Danio rerio: one gene and its partners. The protein of the gene in region 2 binds, or shares a complex with, the protein of the main gene of each other region. Links are inferred from orthologs where the notes say so. Each region holds a gene or a part of one and is shown on either strand. Other genes may lie near its edges.

The links. Proteins that work in one complex are often made in the same cells at the same time.
Region 1: stx4 (region 2) and bet1l share a complex: the UniProt entries of both Homo sapiens proteins name them as parts of the SNARE complex. The link is inferred for Danio rerio from reciprocal best matches to the Homo sapiens genes STX4 and BET1L.
Region 3: stx4 (region 2) and vti1b share a complex: the UniProt entries of both Homo sapiens proteins name them as parts of the SNARE complex. The link is inferred for Danio rerio from reciprocal best matches to the Homo sapiens genes STX4 and VTI1B.

Annotation. Positions count from the first base shown.
Region 1 is NC_133200.1:8,372,525-8,376,282, reverse strand, and holds the start of bet1l (BET1-like protein), read left to right. Parts: upstream 1-1,024; 5' UTR 1,025-1,074; intron 1,075-1,703; coding exon of another isoform or gene 1,704-1,973; 5' UTR 1,974-1,976; intron 1,977-2,140; exon of another isoform or gene 2,141-2,202; 5' UTR 2,203-2,273; intron 2,274-2,434; 5' UTR 2,435-2,472; coding exon of another isoform or gene 2,473-2,709; intron 2,710-2,793; coding exon of another isoform or gene 2,794-2,949; exon of another isoform or gene 2,950-2,981; intron 2,982-3,758. Other genes in the region: kcnj11l (potassium inwardly rectifying channel subfamily J member 11, like), read right to left, coding at 817-1,024, 1,704-1,973, 2,473-2,709, 2,794-2,949. UniProt on the Homo sapiens protein: Vesicle SNARE required for targeting and fusion of retrograde transport vesicles with the Golgi complex. Required for the integrity of the Golgi complex.
Region 2 is NC_133187.1:22,374,273-22,378,030, reverse strand, and holds the start of stx4 (syntaxin-4), read right to left. Parts: upstream 2,559-3,758; 5' UTR 2,405-2,558; coding exon 2,375-2,404; intron 1,265-2,374; coding exon 1,157-1,264; intron 405-1,156; coding exon 305-404; intron 161-304; coding exon 86-160; intron 1-85. UniProt on the Homo sapiens protein: Plasma membrane t-SNARE that mediates docking of transport vesicles. Necessary for the translocation of SLC2A4 from intracellular vesicles to the plasma membrane.
Region 3 is NC_133188.1:36,491,230-36,494,927, reverse strand, and holds the start of vti1b (vesicle transport through interaction with t-SNAREs homolog 1B), read left to right. Parts: upstream 1-744; 5' UTR 745-878; coding exon 879-975; intron 976-3,698. UniProt on the Homo sapiens protein: V-SNARE that mediates vesicle transport pathways through interactions with t-SNAREs on the target membrane. These interactions are proposed to mediate aspects of the specificity of vesicle trafficking and to promote fusion of the lipid bilayers.

The sequences.
Region 1 (3,758 bases), on a different chromosome or scaffold from region 2:
TAACATTTTAAGCACTATTTTTTTGCTGGATTAGCTTGTTTGATGGTCATCATAACCACATTTTTGATGTTAAGGTTTACATCAATTATCATTTACATCATATACATCAATTGCATCATTAGAAAAAATAGGAATTTGTTAAAGTTTTAAATTAAAAACTTTAGCCTATTGTTATTTAAATATCATTAACATAAAAAGCAAACCGTCCCGCACATTCAACTTTCCTCAGTCATGCTGACGCAACAACCAACACAGGATTCCACATGGTGTTAAAGCCTTTTTCCATGGATTATTTTCACAACTTATTATGACATAGTAGTTATGGGCCTTTGTCAATGAGGGGTGGGTCTTCTGAACCACCTGAAACCCTCCCCTGGCTACAGGCCTGCTTTGTTAATAACTTAATTTAGACAACTTTAAAGGCAGCTTTCCCAATATTTAGATATTTTTAAACCCTCGGATTCCAGATTTTGAAATAGTTGCATCTCAGCATCAATGACAAATGTATTTATTCAGCTTTCAGATCATGTATAAATCTCAATTTCCCAAAATTGACACTTATGATTGGTTTTGTACTCTAGGGTCACATATTAGAGAGCTTATCTATGATAATCCCTTAAAAATACTTTGGCTTTTAAACAAAACAATTACATTAAGCAGACTCTATTCAATCAAACATTCATTCTCCTTCGGCTTAGTCTCTTATTTATCAAGGGTCACCACAGGGAAATAAACCGCCAACTATTCCACCATATGATTTATGCAGCAGATGCTCTTCTAGCCACAACCCAGTACTGGAAAGTAGACTCTATTCACCTTCTAAAATGACAATGATCTCCAGATCTTCGGTAGCCATTGACTGCGCTGAGAGCTCGTACAGTGGACTCCCTCTGTCAATGGTGTGACTGATAATGAGTGGAGAGACGAGGAATATGCCGTTGCTCCTGAGAGGGTTTTCCACCTGGATATCTAACTGACAGACGGGAATCACTTCGCCCTCCGCTGTCACTGTCCGCCGAATAACCTGAGGAGCAAATATCAAGATCAGGATGGAATCAAACTCAAGAATATCTGGTACAGACATGATATATAAAGCATTTTTGGCTCACACTTCACATAATTTGTGTTTGTTATGATAATCAATGTGTATGAAAATCACTCTCCATGTCGAATTTCTAAATTCTTGCATTCAAGATGCCTGAATAGATTTCCATTCTGCCAAGTAATGGCAGAATTTTAATTTTAAGGTGAACTGTCCCTTTAAGGCAGAATTTATACTATCTTTAAAGCTACATATCTGCCATCATTTTGACATCAAATGCCTTGCTTTTATGTTGTCTGAACCTGGTGATAAAATAATGATTAAATAACCTTAGTTTGAAGGACATATTAAAGATCTATAGCAGTGTTTCTCAACCACGTTCCTGGAGGACCACCAACACTGCATGTTTTGGATGTCTCCTTTGTCCGTCAAACCAATTACAGGTCTTTCAGTCTCTGCTAATGAGCTGACGGTCTGAATCAGGTGTGTTTGGTTAAGGAGACATGGAAAATGTGCAAAGCGTGTGGTCCTCAAAGAAACGTGGTTGAGAAACACTGATCTAAAGGACTAAAATGAAGAACTCTCTAATAGAAGGTTCTGTGGATGTTAAGGTTCTTCAATGATTTAAATACATCAGTAAAGAAATAAACACATCTGTCACCTGCAGCTGTATGTTGGCAGAGATGATCATGCTTTTTCTCAGATCTCCAACACGAAACATCAATGTCGGTCTGCCATTCCTTGGGGCAATGACTGCGTTGCGGGAGAAGATGAGGGTTTCTGCTCTGCGGTTGGCTTGAGCTGTCTTCATGAACACACAGCCAAGCATGATGGCGTTGATGATCAGGCCCAGAATGTTCTGGATGATGAGGACTATGATGGCCAGCGGACACTCCTCTGTCACCATTCGTCCTCCGAAACCAATAGTTACCTGGTATTACAAATGCTTCATTATCTTACAGACGATTTAAAGGGGTCATGAACTGTGAAACCTAAAAATCACCTAATTTTTTTTTTTTTACATATAAGAGCTCATAGTTCTCTAAAAATATCCTGTAAGTTTTAGAACTGAACACTTTGTGGTTCCTCTAAATACAGATTATATTGAAGGCAGTCTGAAGATAACAGATTCTTGAATGTTCTACTCTATGATGTAATAGAGTGGATAAGCCCCGCCTCCACAGAAGATTGACGTCAACTTCTACTTCACATCCTGTTCAGCGCTGTTAAGGTATAGTTTACCAAAAATATTACATTGTTTATTCTCCCTCAGTTTTGACAACTAGTATTACGTTTCAGTCAGTCCAATCACAAGTGGATGACATTAAATAAAAATGTATGCGGAGTCTAAAATATTTAGATTACTGAAAATGCATGTCATAATAATTCTAGATGGAAACAGAGTCATATCTATCCAGATTGATCCTTACCTGCACTTCAATGGAGAACAGAAAAGCAGAAGTGAAGGAGTGAATGGATGTGACGCACGGCACAGGTCCGGGTTCATTGGGATCTCGAGGTTCTAGATCTCCATGAGCGAATGCCAGGAGCCACCACACCATGGCAAAGAGCATCCAGGAGCAGAGGAACGCTGAGGTGAAGATGAGCAAAGAATGCTGCCATTTCAGGTCCACCATGGTGGTGAACACATCTTGGAGAAACCGACCCTGAGAAGCAATAATCTCTTATGAACACTGCAACTGAGTCAATTGAAACTTTTCTTTAGCCTAGAACTGATAGGAAAATCTCACCTGTTCTCGAATATTCTTGTGGGCTACATTACATGAGCCGCTCTTGGTGATAAAACGTGCCCTTTGTGACTTTGGCCGGATGCGGCTGGGTTGTGCATCTTCAGCGAGTCGCGTTAACAAGAACCCATCAGGCAAAAGACCTTTGCGGGCCAACATTATGACAATTTGTGGCCAATTGGTGCTCCGCACTGTAGAAGGAATTTAAAAAAAAGAACTAAAATATACAGTAACACTAAGGGTTTCTTGAAAAATAAAGAAAAAATTATGAAGTACATTTCAGTTAATTTAGTTTATCTTTAATTCTTTAGCCCTTTTTACAATGTAAACAATATACAAAGCAGTTTGACATTACATTTTATCATTAATTCATCATTAAATTTAGTGTTTTGTTTTACTTATACTGCTAAAAAAATAATAATAATAAATTAGGTTTACAGTATATATGCATTGAATTGCATAATTTTAAAATCTTTTACCTAAAGGTAACGTTTTGCCTAATAATAATGCAAAAGGTTACATTTATAAATTACATAATGAATAAGGTTATAATAACATTATAATAAAGGTTACATTAATAAATTATATTATTAGGTTATAATAAATAAAAATCGAAGAATTTTTGATGTAACTCGTAATATAATAGTTAAAGCTTAATTTTAATTATTTTTTTTGTTTATTTTATGCATAAACAGATAACTCATAAATTGTCTTTTGTTAGTTGCACAGATATCAAAGCATATTCATAATTTTAAACAATTACATTTATATTTCTTTTAGTTTTTATATTTAACTAATTTAAAATATAATTATTTAATTAAATAAATGGTAATCGTTTATTAAGGGAAAAACTGGCATGAAACTGTCTAATCACGAGCGACAATGCTATTTTGAATAGTTTAGTTTCACTCAAACATAAAATATATACATGTATTATTTCAAATATATACATATATTATAACGTTTTA
Region 2 (3,758 bases):
ATTTTTCACATTTGTTAGGTTGAGCAGAAAAGTTTGATTGTCAAAAAAAAAGCTTCATTTATAAAATTTTATTTATCAGTCTCACTTTTTAATTTCTTTTGGATCTGGCTGGCCATCCCTTTGATGTCTTCTCTGAGTGACTGCAGTTCCTTTTTCATACCTGTGCTCAAAGAAAAATATAATTTACTCATTCACTCACTATCCTTTAACTTACTCTCTTCATAATTATTAATTAATACACACACACAACATAAGATTATGTAAATGAATAATAAAAAACCCAAGTGAAAGCTAAATTACTTACTGTCCTCTGGAAGTGCAACTCCTAGCACTGTTTTCTGCTTGTTCTCCAATTCGGAAACCTTTCTCTTAAGAGTTTCAAGTCCCTCTCGAATCTCCTGAACCTACATAGAAAAAAGAAAATATATTTTTATGTCAAGTTTCAATGCAAACTTTCCAAGCACAAATGTTATGGAATTCAAGTGACCCAAATGTAATTTATGTGTAATGTTTGACATTACATGAAGTTTGCACAAACACTAAACAGCTTCATTCCTTTATTACTGTTTGCATGTGCATGTTCCTAATCTACGGTGGTGGAGAGAGAGCTCAAATGTACTGTAAGCTAAGATATGCATATAGAAAAACCAAACTAAGAAAATGTGTTCATTCGTTTGACAATATGTGTAAGCAAATTCTCACAACACATGCACATATGCAAAGAGCACATGACAGAAATGTGTCAGGGAACCCCAAAAGAGACAAACCCAGCTACTTCCTGTTTAGAGCCTGTCAGGGTTGCTGTCTGATGGTTATTTTAATGTCCTGGTCGTAAGGTTCCTTGTTGTTTGTACATTTTTTGCATTAATAATTGATAAAAAATGCTTTTTTATTGGTGTTTTTTGTTGGTGCAGTACATTTGAGCGCTCTCAGCCACCGTACTAATCAGTATTTGTGAGAAACCTGCAGTGTAGAAAATCACAGTTCAGAATTGCAGGATTTCTAAATTATATTATACAAGAACCAACAATACACACTTCAGTTCAAAAATCATTAATTACAGAAACAACATGCTACTTCTGTACAGATCCCTAAAACTAGTGCATAAAAGTATTGAAAGTTGCAGTTAAAATGAGAGCAATCGTGCTACAATGACCTTTTTAAAGAAAGCTTCATTTTCTTTGTCTTCATTTGCTGAGGTTCCAGATCCAGGCTTTATCATTAGAGCTACGGTTTCTTCATCTTCATCTGAGGCATCAGCAGTCTAGTAAAAGAGTACACAATACGACACTGAATATAGTTAAGAATATTGTTATTAATAAATTTTTATATTGTATGTTATCATATTTTAAAAATATTACCACCATACAAAGTGCAAGACAGTGTTTCTGCAGCTTAGATAAAGGTAAATAAGGTTAGCAAAATATCTATTTTAAATAATACCTCAAAGTTTAAAAAAAAGTAAACAGATCTGTTATTTCTAAACTTACAAAAAAAAGTCAAAACTGAATAGCCATTAAAAATGTTACTCTTCTCATCACATTACAAAAAACATCTTCCACTATATTCGTCGTTTTGCAAATGTGTGAAAGTCTTAAATCAAGATATATTTTACATTTACTTGACATGTTTTATGAAAAATATATATTTGAATTTAATTAATTTAGGATTACACAAAAAGTAGCTTTAAGGAAAAACACGTTAACATGACAGATAGTGTGTTTTATTGTGTGTGAATTTATTAACATTATAGTTTTTTTGCTTTTACAGGAAAACGAAGTAAAAACCATATACAGGAGATTCATATTTTTCAGTATGTGCAACATTTAGTGTAAAAACTTTGTGAAATTAACCCTTTGTGACTCTCTTTGGGACATTTAAAGGTATTTGTTTGTCGAAAGGCAAATGTAGTCCCACAGAAGAAACTGCAACAACACAATTACGTGAAAAAACAAACGGATGATAATAAACCTTTATTGCCGAGCGAATGACAGTGTATTAATAATAATACAACTAAAAGTTAAGTACCAATTCAACGCTTAACTTTCTTGTGAGAAAAACTAAAATCAATATTCAAATGCAACCATTCATGGCAGCTGTATTTATTTGTAGGCTAAATAAAGTTACACCCCGTTTACCCAAGAGCGCTGGTGCTGCAAGAGGGTGTTAGCCTACCGTTCGTGGACTTTAACCATATATTTTTCCAACACAAGAAAATAAGCCACACAACTATAGATTGTGACTCGTTACAATCCTTGAAGGAGTTAATAAATCGCAGTCGAGCCAGTGGTGACAGTAGTTACATCCGCTGAATAACATTAGCCCGTTAGCCAGTTAGCCGGTTTCCTGCGTGCACTGCCCTGAAATTACTCACATTGCCCAGTTCTTTGGTCCGGTCCCGCATTTTCGATGTATTTTATGGCCAGCTCAGATGAAATGTTCCCGTTTTTAAGAGGTGTAGCTCATCTGTCTCCTGACCATAAACTTGCAAAACTCACAACAGATAAGAGGGAGTTTCCATTGAAAGTCACATTTCACGCCAGCCAACTTCCACAAATAACTTTCAGAGCAGAATATTGATGGACGCTGAGAGATGCTGTGTATATCTATGCTATATGGATAAACTCTGGTTATGTTTAGAGATCAGTGTGGGGCGATGTCGCTGTATATGACTTTACCGTTTTCTTCTTCTCTATCAGTTTGCGGATGTCTGACAAATCCGTCAAGGCTCTTACTGCCCCCTACTGAGCGACACGACTGAGGCTATTTAAGGAAGCCAATTTCCGCCAGAGAATAACAGTTTTTATCTTTTCCCGCTTTTTGTTTCAGATTTCTGAGATTTAAAATCAAAATTTCGAGTTATAAAGTCAGAATTCTCAGACATAAAGTCACAACTGTGTGATATAAAGACATAATTTTCACATATAAGTCATAAAGTCAGAACTCTAAGTTACAATTCAGAGATTAAGTTACAATTTAGAGTTATGAAGTCAGAATTCTAGGATAAAGTCACAATTCAGAGATATAAAATGTCACAATTCTGAGTAAATAAATAAAGCAAGAATTTTGAGATATACTTCACAATTACAGGTTTTGTCAGAAATCTGAAATATAAAGTTGCAATTGTGCGATATAAAGACAGCATTCTGAGATATATGTCACAATTATATAAAGCTATTACATAAGAGTTATAAAGCCAGCTATAATTAGCATTGCCGGCAGCTAGCCCTCTGCAACTCTCATGGTTGAGCAGGGCTGCGCCAGGTCAGTTCCTGGATGGGATACCACATGGGAAAGCAACTGTAGGTTATTGCCACAAGTGTGTTAGGGAGACCAGCTCAACCTGCTGTCTGTATGTCTCCTAACACGCCGGTACATTAATATACTGTCAGTGAGTCCTGTCTTTCAGATGAGATGTTAAACCTGACTCTCTGTGGTCGTTAAAAATCCCAGGATGTCCTTTGAAAAAAAAGAGCAGGGGTTAACCTCGGCATCCTGGCCAAAGCTGCCTACTAGCCTCTGTCCATCATGGCATCATAACTCTATCTCCACTCCACCAATCAGCTGGTGTGTATTCTGGTGCAATATGGCTGCCGTCATTCTGGTGGATGCTGCACAATGGTGGTGGATGAGGAGATTCCCCCACCCCCCAAAAAATGTGTAAAGTGCTTTGAGTGTCCAGAAAAGTGCTATATAAAGTTAAGGAATTATTATTAAAATTCTGAATGCAATAACTACTTCAAAAAAATTACTCAGTG
Region 3 (3,698 bases), on a different chromosome or scaffold from region 2:
CCACTCACATCTACAGCTGTGCTCCCGGGGAATGATGGGATTGTAGTTTTCATTGTCTGCACCTGCACAAAAATGTTTCCTGAATGGTCATTAATTTGTTGCTGAAAATGATTGTAAATATTTTATTATTAAATATTATATTTGCAATAAACTACATGCTGTTTTATTGACATGTGTTGGGCCTTATTTTAATTATTGATATGTAGTAATAATGTATTTTTTCCTTCGCGTGTTTGTGTGAGAAAGTTTGCAGTATGCAACAACAAATAGAAAACAACAAAATGAATATAATTTAAAGTGAAATTGAAACTGAATAGTTTTTATCGTACAGCGTATCAAATATTATAGAGTGAATTATAGTACTATTAAGTCATTTATGTAAATGAATAGCAAATATGTAGGTAATATTTATTATGTCAGCTAAACTTTAATTGTTCGACGATTATATTTACGAAACAGATTAATTTGGGTTTTCCTAAAAATATGAACTACAACTCCCACACTGTATTTATGATGCGAGCTGTCTACATATTTGCTACGTTTAATTGAAGTCTACTTTTGTATCATTTTTCAAAAATGAAGTGCATTAAAATTTTAATTAAGCATACACATATTAATATAGAGCTGTTTTAGATGTTTAAAATTTTAAAACAGCCTTTAAGATTTTAATCTGCATTCTTGTTTGCAGGCAAAATCAAGACCGCCTATCATCACGAGGTCCAACACGGAAGCGTGAGCTGCAGTCCCGAGGATTTTGTTATTGCCCGAGAAGCTGATTTTTCCCTATTGTTTCGTACCACAACAGACTTCAAATTTTCGCTCTTTTATTCTGTTGTCATTTATTTTGTTTATTTGCTTTAGACTTCGTTTGTTCCACTATGTCTTCAGAGGAGTTTGAAAAGCTGCATGAGATGTATAAATCTCTGTATGACGAAGTGAAGTTGATGCCAGAACGGGTGCAGAAGAGCCAGGGAGGTGAATAAACTCTTTATACTGTATTATACGTTAACAAGACTGTGCGAATGAACTGCTTTCATCAGTGAATAGTCATTAACTTATTTTGAGTACTGTCATTAGAGATTTTCCAAACACTCCTGATATTGTAGCTGTGGATGAAGTATCGAGATTATGGAATTAGGCTGCTGTTCAGAAAAAAATGCTAAAATATCAACCATTAACAAACGCTTTGAAAGTGTGTGGCTATAGTTTTTTTAATCCACGGGAGTCTAGGACACGTTCATAAACTGGGTGCGAGGATTACAAATTGCTGGCTCAGTAAGAAAGACTGAGTCTAAACAAATTGCCATATACACTGCTTTGTGTCTGCAGTAAAAATGCAGTCTGCATATTTGGAAAAGACGATGTCATCTCTATCCCTAATTTGCAGAAGTGAGGTAAAGTTGGTTTTATATTTGCACATTCGTTAGTTTTTGACCAGTGGCAAATTGTGACTGTCTACTTTCAATAATGGCTGTGAGGCATGGGATTATGATTCAAAACGACATTAGCACATTTATTGACTGTGAACGACGCTGTACATTGATAGTCATTGGCTATAATATAATTTCCCTATTAAGAATTTTCAAAAATACTTTTCTGAAGTTATATTTGGAAGACTAAAGTCTCAAATGTGTGAATATAAAACAAACTTTACCTCAATATTTGCAGAGGGACATTCTAAAACGTTTAACGTGGCTTAATGTACTTGAACATCAACCAGAGAAACCCACATTTCTGTCGAGCTTTACTTGTAATTAACCCTAATGACTGTAAAATCAATGAGTCCCAATTCCCTAGATAAAATGTAAGACATCACAATAACCATTTTTCTGAAGTCTATTATAAGGAAAAAGCTTAACATGGCTAATGTACCTTAACAACAAGTGGGTAACATTTAGTTTCTCTTGGTTGTTGTTGTAAAGTCACGTTCAACCTTTTCTTATTATGGACTTCGATGGGAGGAAAACACTTAACGTGATATTGTTCACTTTATCTATGGAATTAGGGCCTGTTCTTTAGACAATAGTTAGTGTTAATCACTAGTAAAGTTTGACAAATTTGGGTTTTCCTGGTCAGTGTTAAGGTACGTTAAGCCAGGTTAAGCTGTTTCCTTATAATGGACTTTTACAGAGAGAACGTTTAGTGATATTGTTCACTTGATACAGTATACTAAAATAAAAGTTTGTTCTTTTAACAGAAGAAAGTGTTTATGAGTATATTTTTATATACATTTGATTGTCTCAATGTTATTAAGTTAAACCTCATTAAGGTCTTATAATGGATTTCAATGGGGATAAAACGTTTTAATGTCACATTGATCAATTAACTTCATCCACAGAATCAGGACTTGATCTTTTGCTAGTAGTTAAAGATAATTACAAGTGAAATTTCATAGATTTTTGGTGTGCTCTTGTTGAGGTACGTTAAGCCATGTTAAGCTCTTTCCTTTTATAATGGATTTGAAAAACGCATAACGTGATCCTTTTCACTTACTAAAATTAGAGCTCATTTTTTTGACATCAGAAAGTGTTAATCACAAGTAAAATTTGATAGAAATTAGATTTTATTTTAGAAATTAGATTTTAATTAGATGTACCTTGTTGTTAAGGTACATTAAGCTACATTAAGCTTTTTCCTTACAATAGACTACAGAAAAACGCGTAATGTGATGTTTTACACTTTATCTAGGGCAGTAGTTCTCAAACTGTGGTACGTGTATGCAGGCTTCCTTCTAGTGGTACACGGAGGAATCGCTGAATAATTAAAGTAAAAATGAGCACACTTTTAACCCTTTGACGCGTACGATAACGCCGATGTGATCAGTAAATTGATTTTAATAGGATAAACCTTTCATTTTATTTTCAATTTTCTAATGTTTGTTATGTATTCTATCATTTAAAGCTAATTTCCTCTCCATATTTGTAACAGTTGTAGGGGCTTATCCCATATTTTTATATCCCAATGTTCACAGGTATAGTTTAATCACTTGCTTTACTGACACACATAACCTACTCTAACGTGCAGTGGGCAAACTCATTTTTTATTTAAATATGCAAATCCAATTCATATATCTAAAATACAAGTTAACATTTAGATTTCAAAGATTTACAAAGTCATATATACATGCATCATATATTTCAAAATTTAGGATACTTTATGATAATACTTTACATTTAGGTACAGCAGTTTTCTCTTTACTTTTTAAAAACAGTGCCGTTTTTGATTAGCTTTTGAACGCACAGTTCAACAGCACAGTGTTAATGTTCAAACTACTTATGATGTTTAATATGGCTGAAAATAACAAATATTCATAATAATAATCAGAATTAATCTGCCACGCTTTTGAATTGTGCAGTGCTGTAGCTGCTTAATTAGGCCTACTACACTACTGTATTTCAATACTGGTCATTATGGTGGTACTTGGGAAGAATTTTTAATTGAGGTGGTACTTGGTGAAAAAAGTCTAAGAACCACTGATCTAGGGAATTGGGGCTCGTTCTTTTACAGTCATTAGGGTTTATTACAAGTACAATTTGACAGAAATTTGGGGTTCTCTGGTTGATGTTTAGGTACATTAAGCAACGTATTTGCACATATTTCTTTACAAACTTGAGGTGGTCCAAGCATTTTAATATTGTTCTTTAAAATATATATATATATATTCAGTGATTGTATTTATTTGCACATCACTTGTACTG